Linked DNA regions of Drosophila melanogaster. Changing the gene in region 1 together with any one later gene gives a genetic interaction. Each region holds a gene or a part of one and is shown in the gene's direction. Other genes may lie near its edges.

The links. A genetic interaction does not mean that the proteins touch.
Region 2: of ZnT63C (region 1) and ry, changing one suppresses a phenotype caused by changing the other (phenotypic suppression), as found in Drosophila melanogaster (one study listed by BioGRID).

What each region holds. Positions count from the first base shown.
Region 1 is NT_037436.4:3,301,110-3,307,866, forward strand, and holds the start of ZnT63C (zinc transporter 63C), read left to right. Parts: upstream 1-2,598; 5' UTR 2,599-2,743; exon of another isoform or gene 2,744-3,164; intron 3,165-3,492; 5' UTR 3,493-3,556; intron 3,557-6,757.
Region 2 is NT_033777.3:13,030,626-13,039,553, forward strand, and holds ry (rosy), read left to right. Parts: upstream 1-1,902; 5' UTR 1,903-2,140; coding exon 2,141-2,182; intron 2,183-2,992; coding exon 2,993-5,593; intron 5,594-5,874; coding exon 5,875-7,188; intron 7,189-7,253; coding exon 7,254-7,304; 3' UTR 7,305-7,395; downstream 7,396-8,928. Other genes in the region: l(3)87Df (lethal (3) 87Df), read left to right, coding at 357-386, 457-644, 710-824; CG11668 (uncharacterized protein), read left to right, coding at 7,788-7,849, 7,902-8,152, 8,202-8,374, 8,516-8,658, 8,750-8,928.

The sequences.
Region 1 (6,757 bases):
TGTTGCTGTCGCCGGCTACGGATTGCTACTGAACTAGCGATCGGCGGCAAAAGGTGTCGCAAGTTGTGCCCCCAGGTAGCTCCACTCCCTCTCACTCGCTCCCAATGCCACCTGGTCCCCCTCCCCTCCCCTCCCTCCCACTCGAGCGCAGGTAAACAGAAAAGAGCGCAGGCAAAACAAATGGGCTAAACAAAAGCAGTGCTCAGATAACTTTTTTCTCTCACGCGGTATCGCTGCCTAAGCGCAAACAACTGATATTAGAAGCGACAGCCCGGCACTGAGAGAAATAAGTAGTGAAAAGAAATATCAAATGCTTAATGAGTCTTTTAAATAGATGTCTTATCTTATCGTTTCTTAAAAGGATGAATGCGTTATATTATTGTCTTTATCTTATCTTTCAAAAGGATGACTGAGTTACATTGTGATTTTTAGCACTCCTAACGGCAACAATTTTTTTTAAGTGGATCAGCGGAAATTCCCGCAAGTAGTAAAGCATTTTAAATCTAATCATAAAATAATTATGAGGTAAAACGAGTATGTTGCAATTGATAACCCAGTCAACGCCACTCAAGCAGGGTATTCGATCACCAACTTTTTAAATCACTTTTTCCACACGCACTTTTCCATGCTGCACACTATTTATTAGAAATGTATTATTAATATTTCCTCACGCAGCCCGCTGACCACTCCAATTGCCCAATGAATATAGGAGCATTATACCGGATATATGTACATATGTGTACATGTGTATATATTACAATGGCCATGCTGCAATAGTTGCATGTCTGCCAATTAATGACCGACGAGAGAAAACCGAATTAAAACCAAAACTGAAACGAATGGAAATAAATTCAGTGCAATGCATTTCACCTGTGTGACGTCATTTGCGAGCGAGAGGGGAAGCTTTCTGTGCAACAGCCAATACTTTTTTTTAGCTTTTTGTTCTACTTTGACTACCATTTTAATGCCAATGACCCAAGCGGATAACTAGTGACAATGGCCTGTGTTGTAGACACAAAACCCACGACTAATTGTGTGCTCATCTGATCTTTTGTTCTAACGCCATTTACAAGTTGCCTGATCCAGATTTTCAGGAAGATCACGTTCACAGCTATCGAATTTTGATATATTACCAAATTTGAAGCCCGCTGTTTTAGCCACATTACAACGTTTGCCACGCTAGTCCAATCTATGGCCATATAAATCTCAGCCTTACGCTCACCTTTGTACTCTCCTTATCGTTGTTTACTTTAGGGTTATTAACGAATTTTACATTTTAGAAGTTGTTCGAAAATGGCAATTTATTCTGTACGGCATACTATATACTATATGTGTTTTACATATTTTCTCCCCATACAATATGCCTACATATCATTGCCACTATCATTATGCCAACAACCATAACAATAACAATATCAGAGACAGGTTCGGTAGCACTCGCAGTCCAATTTAGATAATTTTCCACTGGACATTTCAGTTTAAGCGGTACGAAAGCCGGAAGCTGCTCATATGAGCATATCTCCTCTGTTCGTATAATAGATTTATCTTTTTTATCATAATTTGTTTACGGGCACTGCCGATGACTGTCATTTGTCGCACATATAGATTTGCGTATGTGGAGCTCGTACTAACTCCCTTCCATTCACAGTGACTAATTTACTAAATTTGGTTTCTTTTATTTACACTTTATTCACTTTATTTTCTCTTCAAGTTCCAATTGCCTGTTATCACGTAGGGAACATTTACCCATTCGCCTAATCTTATCACTCACTACTTCACGCACACGGGGAATTCAGCAAAGGTAAAATAGGTAAAAGTCTTATTGACTTTTTGACGAAAAATGGAAATAAGTCTTGAGTTAAACTAAATGCTGAAACGTGCTCAATATAATTCCGCTGATTTCTGAATTGATTATGGGGGTAGTCACTTTGGAATTACCGATTTTATGATGGCTTTGTTTCTTTGTACACCTGTTTCCTCGGCCGGTAAACGCGCTACTAACGAAATCCCCAATGATCGTGGTCAGTGATGCCGCTTTAGCCATGAATATTATCTTCAAAAAAGATTTTAAAGTTGGATGTTTCTACTAACAACTCACTTTTGCCCTGAAAATATATATATTCTTTTTTTTTGCCAAAATATTTTATTTTTTAGATAATTTCCTTATAAAGGCACGACATCACTAGTAAGTCATTTACCTTTCCCATCCAATACACAAACCAACTTTGAGCTTGAGTGCCATCGAGCTTTTTGTTGGTTAAAAGGGGTTAAACGCAGTTGTTGGTAGTTTTGCGTTAAACAAAGAGTTTAAGCTACATTATATTGAAATGTAACGCCTAAAAAAATAGATTTATTGTAAAGTAGCCCTTCACAAAAATATTTCGTATTAAAAGTGACAAAATGTATCAAAAGCCTGCCAGTTTTTTATTTCAATTACATTACTGGCTCCTATTTTGGTTTCTACTACATTTACTAGTTTTCAAACTTATTTTTGAAAGACCGCTTGTAACGGTCGATAGTCATTATTGTTAACCCGATAGAGCTGCACAAATATTATCGATATATTATTGGTATTTTCCAACTGCCCGGATGGATTTTCGATGACTGTGGCTGCAGTCACACTGAGTCGGGAAAATAATTATTTATTAAAAATTCGTGGACCCGCGCTGTACATCTGTGTCTGTGCTGTTCGCTCCGCTCCAAGTGCGGCAAAAAGCAACCAAGAAGGCAGGCAGCCCAATCGGTAATTTACGGCGGAGTAGTGAGGCGATATACGGAAATCGCGACCAGTGCACGTGCAATTGTGAATCGTTCTCGATTTTCCCGACCCGCACCCTTTCTTCTCTTTCGACCATTGTGACTGTGCACAATTAACTTGCATACATACGTGTATGTATGTACACACTCTGTTTGTATGTATGCGTGCCACCCCCAATTGAGGCGGAAAAAGGAGAAGCAAAGGAATTTCTGCAAAATCCAAGATGCCCATGCTATTTTCACTATTTTATTTTGCCAACTTTTCAGTCGACACTTTGCTCTTGCAGCAACAAAGCCAACAACGGCGAAAATTGGAAGTTATTTTCTTTTCTTTCTCCACTCTTTTTATCGCAAAACAACAGCAACACTGCCCGTGCACCGCTCTCCCCGCTCCCACTTGCGTCCTTGTTAATACAGTGAATATCGGCTAGCCACAAACAGGGGAAATACAAAGAATCTTAATTTGCATTTGTATGGTTGATAAAAAGTCAACTTATCAACTTATCTAAATCGTCAAACCAAAGTGACTTATACATTTGTAAACATTTTTAAGCGTTTTCCCTGTTTTAATTGCGAAAATAGTAAAGATATCGTGTTTTATTTTTATCAACAGTGCAGCGAAAGTTTTATAAAGTATACATATATTCAGTCAAATAATTATTAAAGTCCTATACTCTCCGTATACACTGGATTTGGTTTTTTATTAATTTTCAATTATGTGTATTTTGAATTTAGCCTCTTCAATTGGAGCTTAGGAACCTTAACAACCAAAGAACCGATTTCCAGACTTAAAGCTAAGGTAAGTTAAATACACCTATTATTCTTAGCCTCATTATCAATTTTTAATGAAACTTCAAAAAATAGATTGTAAGAGTGTTATATCTCTTTTCTTAGTTAAACATAATCTCGGAAATGATATCCATTATCTTACGTAGGGGATTTGCCTGCAGGAGACCTGCATCAGCATGTCTGTTATTGTTGCACGTGGGTCACCGAACTGGGCGGGTGTGGGCGTGGTCAGGTAGTAGCTGAGCATATCTGCATTTCAACAATCGATCTTAATCTGCGCTTGCTTTTGAGTTCCTTTCGTCTAGGACTTGTTATACTTGATTTATGGCCCCTTCCCGCGATTTCCCATCCTCGAAAACCGGTTGTTTTGACTTAATCATCGGTTCTCGCTGGTTATTTGATATGAAATTCTTTCTGACTCACAGCAGTTGTTTAAATTCTGGCGTGGAAATCCCGATCTTTTTCCTTATCAAGCCAAATAAATATGAAGGCTAATTTGCTATGTTTGAATTATTTTATTTAAATTACTTTTGAAAAACAAATAGGCAGTACAGCTATTAAATAGCAGGTTTTTATTTGTTAAAGCGTAATATCTTTCAGATTTTATAGATTCTAAATCTTCCCATATAGGTTTATTTTTCCTCATTAAGTCTTGCAAATTATGTTCGATTTTCTTTCTGTATCGGTTCTGAGATATTGTATGTTGCAGCGATTTTCACTGTTGCATAAAACTCTTGTATTCCGGGCCTAATTAAATCACTTTAAATGCCTGCTCGGTGTGGCTGAAATAATTCGATTTAAAGGTCAGGCACTCACCCAAGTGACTTTCCAACTCTTTTTGTTCTCGGCTCCCAGTCAGTCATCAGCGAAAATTGAGTGAGATCGAGGAGGAGGGGAAAATCAATATGTGCTAATATAATTTTGTGGCAAACAAATTAAAGCACACAGAACAGCTCGTCGTCGCTGCTCTGATTTGTTTAGCTATACGAATATGTACCATATTTATTCAGTTGATTTGGTTCAGTTTCAGTGGTGAATATTTGAGCAGCAGCATTTAATATTTGATACTGGCCAATTTGATTTGTGGGTAAGCACATTGACTACCGCCCAAAACTGAAATGCAGCCGAAAATGGGGCCAAAAGTGGGTTATGTTTGCTCCGACCACCATGCAAGCTGGCTTTGATTTACGACTGCAACTAAAGTAGGTTAACCTAGGTCCAGATAACTACTACATTCTGCTTCTCCAACGATACCATATTCTAATCTCAAAGTTGCCTGAGCTGCTGGCTTTCCAAGAGTAGAATCATGTACATGTGACCTTGACACGGTTTTCACTTGCTATGCAGGAAAAAGGGTTTCCCGCATCCACCGTACCGTATCCATTGAAATTTGATTTTGTTATTTGTTTATCGACGCCACTTCATGCAAATTGGAGAAATTCAGGTGGATATATTTTTAGCTGACACATCCATGCAATGTTTGCAAATGCATATATAGTATTCACCTTTCTGCCAGCCTGATGAAATTCTTTTGTATATTTTTCACTCTGTTCTCCGTTCTCGTGGAACTCAACCAGGTTGGACCACCCAACGCCCAGCTCCGTCTCTTACTTTGCCTTTCTCTGCGCCGCCCTTTTTCCAGAGCACCTCCGTCCGCCTTCCGTTCCCGGAGGTCGGGAAAAAGAACCGGGTTAATCGTCGCCACGTTGTCGCCGTGGAGAACAAATGACTCTTTTCGTTTGTGGGTCAACTGCAATTTTTGCCATTAATATAATTAATTGATTGCCATTTTGGTTTTAAATGTCGTAACTTTATGTGAGTGAAACGCACCTATTAAATGGGAATACTCACATAATAAAATTCAAAAGCGTTCACATCGCAAAATCTATAAGAATGCTAAAATTGTTTTCAGTGCTGCACTTCACACTTACGTAGCAAAAAGATTTACCCAATCTTAAAATTACTTTAATTCCTGCTTAATAAATCTTTCTACAAATTGCCGATCAATAAATCAACAGTGCGTCTAATTTGGCTTATCGAAATGCCCACTTTCGAGTACTTTGTACAACATTCTGTGCATAAGCGATCGATTTGCGCTTATCACCCGAATTTGTTCTTATCGCTGGGCCAAATTAAACTATGCTGGCCGCCCAGCCGTCTTTGTTTCAAAGCAACCATAGCCAAACTGGCTTAGTAACCCACATAAACACCACCGAATCCGAGTCCCAGTTGTCCGGGGGCAATTGGGCGGAGAATACCCGTTCAGTGCAACTGGAGCTGGAGAGGCCAATTAAAGCACCTGACCTAGAATATTTGTAGCCCAGTTTCGCCCGCCGAGAGTGAATATGTTTTACATGCCACCGCACTCACATTTGGATGCTCAGATCCAACCAACTCGTACTTTGAATCAGTCAACTGCGAGCTGCATGTTAAATGGTTTGAATTAATTGCGTAGGCCACGCATGTCACGTGCGCCTCACATAGGACTATATCTAACTATATGTGCATATAGTATGATATATTCCACCCCCCTTTCCACCCACAAGTCCTTGAGCAAAGCCAAGCCGGAAATTTAAAGTAAACATTCCAGATATCCCTGTTTGTATATCGAAGTTTAATGTTGTTGTAGAGCACAGCACGTACTCACGGAGCCAAGGCCAAAATGCAAGGCCTTAATGTCGGGTTACGTTTAATTTCAATTGCATTAAAAGAGACTTACTTAAGGTAGCTAAAAACAATGATTGTCGTTAAATGAAATTGACGACGAGACAGCAAGCTCTAAGTATGTGTTATAAATTACTTGATATTATGTCCGTTTTTCATGACACCTAGTTATGAAAAACATCTCAATAATCTGAGTGAGGATTAGAAATAAAATATATAAACTACTACTGTAGTAGAACTCCACAAACTTCACCATATCATTAGGTTTTCAACCAAGTGCTTTAAAACAAACGTACAAGCCACGTTTTAAGTTTTAAACGTTTTCTTGATGGCCTGTGGCAACACACGCCGCCGCCGTAGATGGCCAAATATTTGGTCAGCCAACAGCCGCGAAAGAGACTCCGATATTTCATCAATGGCTTGTCCACAGTCTGGTGGTATTCGGCTTTGGGAACCTGTCCGTCCGTCCGTCTGTCCCATTTATGCGGAGCACGTTCGCCTATCGCGGGCTGCCTGGCTGGGATTAAGAGCTCTCCGGGGCGATGGT
Region 2 (8,928 bases), on another chromosome or scaffold:
CAGTGTTGCCTAATGCTTAAAATGCAATTATAAGAGCGACTCTAGTGCAAGAAACGAGTAATCGATTCTGGTTCGATAGGCAACGACTTCGATAAGGCGCAAATTAAACTAGTTGTAAAGGTTTTACGCTATATGTTGTATGCAAGAAAATCAACATAATTTAGCTATAAATATAGGCTACACTTATTTTTAATTATAAGTCCAAATTTCTTAGTGCATAGGAGTGGAATAACTAATTTTATATCAGTTTTTGGAATGCCCCTAACATGTCCGTGGTATTATTATTTAGTAACGTCAGGGTCACACTTTTGTTTTGTTTTGCTTTGCAACTTGACTTTTAAAATTGCAATTGCAGCATGGCCGAAGAACCCGAGGAACCCGCCAAGGTATGGATTACATAAATCTATTGGACATCAGGTGCCTGATTAAGCTTTAACTATGTTTAATCTCCCATAGAGCTTCGTTATCTTCGGACGCGATGTGGCGCAGATCCCGTGCTTTCGTAACAGTTTTCTCTACGGAATCAGCGGAGGAATCGGCATCGGCTTGCTGACTTTTCTGGGCACCTCGCGAACCCACCTGTCCACCCACGTGGGCTTCGGCTCCTTCTTCTGCGGCACCATCGCCTACTGGATGACCTGCAGGTAAGTGACTGTGATTAAAACCGTGCGGCGCCCTTATCACTTAATTATCAATGTGGCATCCGCAGGTATCAATGGTCCGTCAGGAGATTCGAGCAGCAGCAATTGCGTGAGGCGATGAGACGACAAGCCCTTTATGAGGGCACCCAAAGGGAGAGAGACTTAGATCTGAAGTCGGCGTAGCATAAGTCAGATCCTTCATTACTACTTCGATGTTTGTTTTCACTCTAGGATACCAAGTAATCCTGGCATTGTTAAATCCCTTGTGTTGTAAACTACCTTTTGTTACCAAACTTTATAGTAGCCAATATATTATATATATGTTGTAAGTGAAATCTTAGCTTGCCACTCGTAGGGAATTAATTATGCCACCATCTTTGATTTGGGATTGACAGAAATCAATCCATCATTTTAATGATTGTGGTTCCTAAAACCTGTTGGGCTTTATTGTGCTTTCGATTTGATTTAAGCTGATAGAGCTAGTTGTTTACTTTTGAAGAACCTTGAACCCATTTTGACGACCTTTTAACTTTTTAATAGTTTTTTTTTACCATTTACATAAAAGCAAAATTTACAGTCTAAAAGTTGTATATTCAATACGTTCTGGTACGTAAAAGGGTTATTTAATGCACCATTTTTACAACTTTAGATAGTATACTTTTTACTTGAGTGGGAGCCATATCACAAAAATGAAATGAAAGGTTAAAAAAGTATCTAAAAGTAAGTTTCAATTAATATTCTGAAAAATAATTGCATTTCATGTACGTTTCTCTGAAATACCCCTAATTCGATACTATTTATAAATCTGGAAGATATATAGCTAGGAAATAGATTTATATATTTGCCTAGTTTGAACACCTTGTGAACATTTTGTTTAAAAAAAAAGCGTATCGTGGTACTAGAAAACTTTAAGATACAGATAAATAACTTCACTATACCGAGGTTTTGGTGTTTCTTGAGACTGAAGGACAATCTTCAAAATGGTCTTAATTCTTGAGATAGAAAAGCTGCAGTTCTCATGCTGAATAGTGATCAGTACGATTTTATCTGACAGATTGCTTTCCTAGCTGACCACACCGATCTCGGATGGGTATCTGCTCTAATCCGAGATAGCAGGTAGTAGAACTGCTGCCTCGTAACCCCTAGACATGGCCATTTCCACGCACATGTAGGCGATCCTGCACTCGTCGGTCGCTCGTCTTATCTCACAAAAATAAAAGTCGGCGTTTGGATGGATTGCTCGGCTGGCTGTTGGCACATTCATTACGTTTTCGTTGACGGCGCGAGACGGTTGTGTTGTTTTTTAATCGGCGGGCACATGAGGTTGTCGGTTCTCTAATTTTGAAATAAAAAACTTGTTTTCGCTTTACATTCAAGGAACGCACCTCCTCCCCTCCATATATGTAAACGAGCTTCGTAATTGCAGGCTAACACTTATATAGGCATTGGTACTGAGATACAGCGAGATACCGTGAGCTACAGATACATAGCACTTCACGATGTCTAACTCGGTTTTGGTGTTTTTCGTGAATGGAAAGAAGGTACTTAAAGATACTCGGATGCCTTGCGTGTCTTTCCTTAAAGTCGGCCCACTCCTACTATATCGATTCCCTTTATTGTTTTATTGCCCTAATTGCGTTTAACTGGCATTCGATGGAATTTGCCTTCTTGCTCAATTGAATGTGTCGAATGTATATAGTATTTGCTGTGCATATAGTGATAACAATTGACCCCCATGTGAAGCCTCGTTGTTTGCTGGTGGCCCCTTATCGCCCGATCAAGATGGTGCACTTGCCAATCGCGCATGGGAGCAGTGCTACTCGGATGTGGGTGAGCTGGGATCGTCATGGGCATTTGTGTCTGCCAGATAGCCAGGCCCTCTAATCCGCACATTCCCACCGGCTGTGCGGTGTTTACAATCCAGTGAGCTCGGCTGGATTATTCAGATAAAGCTGGCCATATTTAGCATCTGGTGTTGGTGGAGTGCAGTTGGAGTTCTTTACTTTGTGCTCACAGCTTGCGCACAAGTGAAGTAAATAATAATAAATAACCAGTTGCTCGTGCGCCCGGCATTTGATAGTGATAGATAGCAATCTCTGTTTGCTCAGGGCTGGCAGAGCAGATAACACTTTCGCTGTTTTAAGTTTAAACAAAGTCACAGTTTTGACAAACAATTGCTTTAAACCATATAAACTTATAATTATAGCAATTATAATTAAGTAGGTACAGATCTTAAAGCTACAAGATACAAGATACAAATTTTCCCATTAATGGATAAATGGCATTAGATACTTTTGGGAAATTGATTTCGTTTTTTTCATTTTATTATATTTATACATTTCTTATTCCAGGTGACCGAAGTGTCGCCTGATCCGGAGTGCACGCTCCTCACATTCCTGCGCGAAAAGCTGCGGCTGTGCGGAACGAAGTTGGGATGTGCGGAAGGCGGATGCGGCGCCTGCACCGTGATGGTGTCCCGCCTAGACCGTCGGGCCAACAAGATACGTCACCTGGCGGTCAACGCCTGCCTGACGCCAGTGTGCTCGATGCACGGATGTGCGGTGACCACTGTGGAGGGTATAGGGAGCACCAAAACGCGTCTGCATCCGGTGCAGGAGCGACTGGCCAAGGCGCACGGATCCCAGTGCGGCTTCTGCACGCCGGGCATTGTGATGTCCATGTACGCACTTCTGCGGAACGCGGAGCAACCCTCTATGCGAGACTTGGAGGTGGCATTCCAAGGTAACCTGTGCCGCTGCACCGGCTATCGACCCATTCTCGAGGGCTACAAGACGTTCACCAAGGAGTTTGCCTGCGGAATGGGCGAGAAGTGCTGCAAAGTTAGTGGGAAAGGATGCGGAACCGATGCGGAGACCGATGACAAGCTCTTCGAGCGCAGCGAATTCCAGCCCTTGGATCCCAGCCAGGAACCCATCTTCCCACCGGAACTTCAGCTGAGTGACGCCTTCGATTCTCAGAGTTTGATCTTTAGTTCGGATAGGGTGACCTGGTATCGTCCCACCAATCTGGAGGAGCTGCTTCAGCTGAAGGCCAAACATCCGGCTGCCAAGCTGGTCGTGGGCAATACGGAAGTGGGCGTTGAGGTTAAGTTCAAGCACTTCCTCTACCCGCACCTCATTAATCCCACCCAGGTGAAGGAGCTGCTGGAGATCAAAGAGAACCAGGATGGCATTTACTTCGGTGCGGCTGTCAGTTTGATGGAGATCGATGCGCTTCTGCGGCAGAGAATCGAGCAGCTGCCGGAATCGGAGACCAGATTGTTCCAGTGCACCGTGGATATGCTTCACTACTTTGCCGGCAAGCAGATCCGCAACGTCGCCTGTTTGGGTGGAAACATCATGACCGGTAGTCCCATTTCCGATATGAATCCTGTGCTCTCGGCAGCAGGAGCTCAACTGGAGGTGGCCAGTTTTGTGGATGGAAAGCTCCAAAAGAGATCAGTTCACATGGGAACTGGGTTCTTCACTGGCTATCGCAGGAATGTTATCGAAGCCCACGAGGTGCTGCTGGGCATCCACTTTCGGAAGACCACTCCGGACCAGTATATCGTTGCTTTTAAGCAGGCCAGGAGAAGGGATGATGACATAGCCATCGTAAATGCCGCAATAAACGTTCGCTTTGAGGAAAAATCCAACATTGTGGCGGAGATCTCGATGGCTTTTGGTGGAATGGCACCAACCACAGTGCTCGCTCCTCGAACTTCCCAACTGATGGTTGGGCAGGAGTGGAGCCACCAGCTCGTGGAGCGCGTGGCGGAGAGCTTGTGCACGGAGCTGCCTTTGGCTGCCTCCGCTCCGGGTGGCATGATCGCCTATCGTCGAGCTCTGGTGGTGAGCCTGTTCTTCAAGGCCTATCTGGCCATTTCCCTGAAGCTGAGCAAGTCAGGGATCACATCTTCCGATGCTCTGCCATCGGAGGAGCGAAGTGGTGCCGAGACATTCCACACACCAGTACTCAAAAGTGCCCAGCTCTTCGAGCGCGTCTGCAGCGATCAACCCATCTGTGATCCCATTGGGAGACCAAAAGTTCATGCGGCTGCTTTGAAACAGGCCACTGGTGAAGCTATCTACACAGATGACATTCCCCGCATGGATGGTGAAGTTTATCTGGCCTTTGTCCTTAGTACCAAGCCACGTGCCAAGATCACCAAGCTGGATGCCAGTGAAGCTCTGGCCCTGGACGGAGTGCATCAGTTCTTTTGCTACAAGGACTTAACGGAGCACGAGAACGAAGTGGGACCCGTCTTTCATGATGAGCACGTCTTTGCTGCTGGAGAAGTGCATTGCTATGGTCAGATAGTGGGCGCCATAGCTGCCGATAATAAGGCGTTGGCCCAAAGAGCCGCTCGGCTAGTGAAAGTGGAGTACGAGGAGCTGAGCCCGGTTATCGTGACCATAGAGCAGGCCATCGAGCACAAGTCCTATTTCCCGGACTACCCTCGATTCGTGACCAAGGGCAATGTGGAGGAGGCTTTAGCCCAGGCGGATCACACTTTCGAGGGCACCTGTCGAATGGGCGGACAGGAGCACTTCTATCTGGAGACCCATGCTGCATTGGCGGTACCTCGTGACAGCGATGAGCTGGAACTCTTTTGCTCCACGCAGCATCCCTCGGAGGTGCAGAAGCTAGTGGCCCATGTAACCGCACTTCCTGCCCACCGTGTCGTCTGTCGTGCCAAGCGTTTGGGAGGCGGTTTCGGCGGCAAGGAGTCCAGAGGCATCTCCGTGGCCCTACCCGTTGCCCTGGCCGCCTATCGAATGGGTCGTCCTGTGCGCTGTATGTTGGATCGCGATGAGGACATGCTTATCACCGGCACCAGGCATCCCTTCCTCTTCAAATACAAAGTGGGCTTCACCAAGGAGGGTCTGATCACTGCCTGCGACATTGAGTGCTACAACAATGCCGGTTGGTCCATGGATCTGTCATTTTCGGTAAGAGTGGTGGGTTTATGGAAAATCCATATGTAGGTTTCTTTATGCATACCATGTTTGCTCAAATATCCATGTGTTGTATTTTCCATTGAACATCTGGTTAGTGTGGGAATTTCTAGGACCCCTATATGTTATCATCCTGAGTGCAAATAGTTTGAAACTTTTAAGAATGTTTAGGTCTAATCAGGAAAGCAAGCACCAGGATTATATTGACATAAACAATTATAAATAATAATCTAAAAATTCTTAAAAATGATCTAATATATAAATCCTATGTTTAGGTTCTTGAGCGCGCCATGTTCCACTTTGAGAATTGCTACAGGATTCCCAACGTTCGCGTGGGTGGATGGGTCTGCAAGACGAACCTGCCCTCGAATACGGCCTTCCGTGGATTTGGAGGACCACAAGGCATGTACGCCGGTGAGCATATCATCCGGGATGTGGCCCGGATAGTGGGTCGCGATGTGGTGGATGTGATGCGGCTGAACTTCTACAAGACTGGAGACTACACACACTACCACCAGCAGCTGGAGCACTTCCCCATCGAGCGGTGTCTGGAGGATTGCTTGAAGCAGTCGAGATACGACGAGAAGCGGCAGGAGATTGCTCGATTCAATCGGGAGAATCGCTGGCGGAAACGCGGCATGGCGGTGGTGCCTACCAAGTATGGAATCGCATTTGGAGTGATGCACTTGAACCAAGCGGGATCGCTGATCAACATCTATGGTGATGGATCCGTGTTGCTTTCGCACGGAGGAGTTGAGATCGGACAAGGTCTGAATACCAAGATGATTCAGTGCGCCGCCAGGGCTCTGGGGATTCCTTCGGAACTGATTCACATTTCGGAAACGGCCACGGATAAAGTACCCAACACTTCACCCACGGCGGCGAGTGTGGGATCCGATTTGAACGGAATGGCCGTACTGGATGCGTGTGAAAAGTTGAACAAAAGACTGGCGCCCATCAAGGAGGCATTGCCTGGAGGCACCTGGAAGGAGTGGATCAACAAGGCGTATTTCGATCGGGTCAGCCTCTCGGCCACAGGATTCTATGCCATGCCCGGGATTGGATATCACCCGGAAACGAATCCCAATGCCCGCACCTATAGCTACTACACGAATGGCGTGGGAGTCACTGTGGTAGAGATCGATTGCCTGACTGGCGACCATCAGGTGCTCAGCACAGACATCGTAATGGACATCGGTTCCAGCCTGAATCCGGCTATTGACATTGGTCAGATCGAGGGAGCATTCATGCAGGGCTATGGACTGTTCACTTTGGAGGAACTCATGTACTCACCACAAGGCATGCTTTACTCCAGAGGTCCGGGCATGTATAAGCTGCCAGGATTTGCCGACATTCCCGGGGAGTTCAATGTCAGCCTACTGACCGGTGCCCCCAATCCACGGGCAGTCTACTCTTCCAAGGCAGTGGGTGAACCTCCGCTCTTCATTGGATCATCTGCATTCTTTGCCATTAAGGAGGCCATTGCAGCTGCTCGCGAGGATCAGGGCTTGAGTGGTGACTTCCCACTGGAGGCGCCTTCCACATCGGCACGCATTCGAATTGCTTGTCAGGATAAGTTCACGGAACTGGTAAGTTACCCTTGGATTAGTTTATAACATTAAACTAACTTTTATTATTAATTTATTAATTATAGCTTGAAATACCCGAACCAGGATCATTTACGCCATGGAACATTGTGCCTTAAAATTGTTTTTATTGTTTGTACTGCTTAAGCATTTAAAATGACGATTTTATTTGTTAATTTGTTTATATATACATAGTGAATTAAATGTTTTAAAAATAATTGAGTCGTTTAATGTGTAAACTAAGCTGGAGAGCTGTTTGAACAAATTTATATACCACTGATTAATATTAAATATTCCTTTTAGATTAAGAAAAATTCAATGGTTACTTTTTTGTTCTATCTATTATTCAATAGAATCTCGTGGCATGCAATGCATTCTGATTTTCAATTGAAAAGTCTTAGTCACTATTTATTTTGAGTATATTAATGAAAGTTGAGCAAGTTTTCCGATGAATTGAAATATGAGTTCCGATTTCGGCGCGACTGCTAACCGAAAATATAAGCTCAATCAAAAGAAGCTTTGTATGGAACTCAGGTTATGAGACGAGATCTTCGCGAGCATCTCAGTCGGCAATCTGACGTCGTAGAGCTCGGACATCCGAGATGGGAAAGCTATCATTTGGATACAGATTGATTTTAGAGTTCGTCTTAATTTCGACGTTAGCGTTCGTATCGGCAGAACAATTGTTGCTATCACTACAACCATTATTACAATAGATATGCACAGAATGCGCCTTGGAACGCAGTGGCTCCATCGTATCTATCGATTGACATATACGGAAATTGCCAAGCCCACGATCGTCCGCTGATTGGTAAGTGTGTGCGGTACGTGGATTGCATTAGTGCCATGCAGGCAGTGCCCCGGGTGACACCACTACTCTGTCCGTCATCGTGGCCCAATCAGTTGGTTTGCTGTCCACACGGCGGATACTTGTTGCCGCCGCCCAGCATCTCGAAGAGCGAACAAGGTGCGTATGAAAGGAATTCAGAGAATCCAGAACTTATATCTTTTGCCAGCCTGTGCCAATGCCTATCCAAGAGCTCATCACAAGCGCCGTCGACGCCGTCGGAATACGAACCCTAAACTGGATCAAGTGGAACTAGTTGAGCCAATTATACAAAAGCACAATCAGAGCCAGAATTTACTGGTGGGCGGCAGACTCACCCAGGAGAACGAGCATCCGTATATGGTGAGTTTTAAGCAATTAGGAAAACAGTCCAAAATCTAACCTTATGAAACTTATTTGCCTTTGAAACAGTAAAAAATTAGCAATCTGATATTGTAAGCCATTTGGTAGATTAATAAAGATTTACATTCGATTCAATTACAGTGCGCCCTCGGTTGGCCGTCCCGCACAAACAGATGGATTCATGAGCACGGTTCCAGCAAGCGCAGATACACGTTCAACTGTGGCTGCGCCATGATTGCGCCTCGGTTCGCCATAACGGCAGCACACTGTGCCAGCGTCGGTGGGTAAGCAAAAAAAAATAAATAAAAATGAAAAACAAAACCAAAGAAAACACTCGAAATGCTAATGGGTTAAAAATATCTTGAATTCGAGCAGGGAATCCCCGTCAGTGGCGTTGATTGGTGGCGTTGAGCTGAACAGCGGTCGCGGGCAATTGATTGAGATCAAGCGAATTAGCCAGCATCCGCACTTCGATGCGGAGACCCTTACCAATGACCTGGCGGTGGTCAAGTTGGCCAGAAGATCACACATGCCAGTGGCCTGCCTGTGGAACC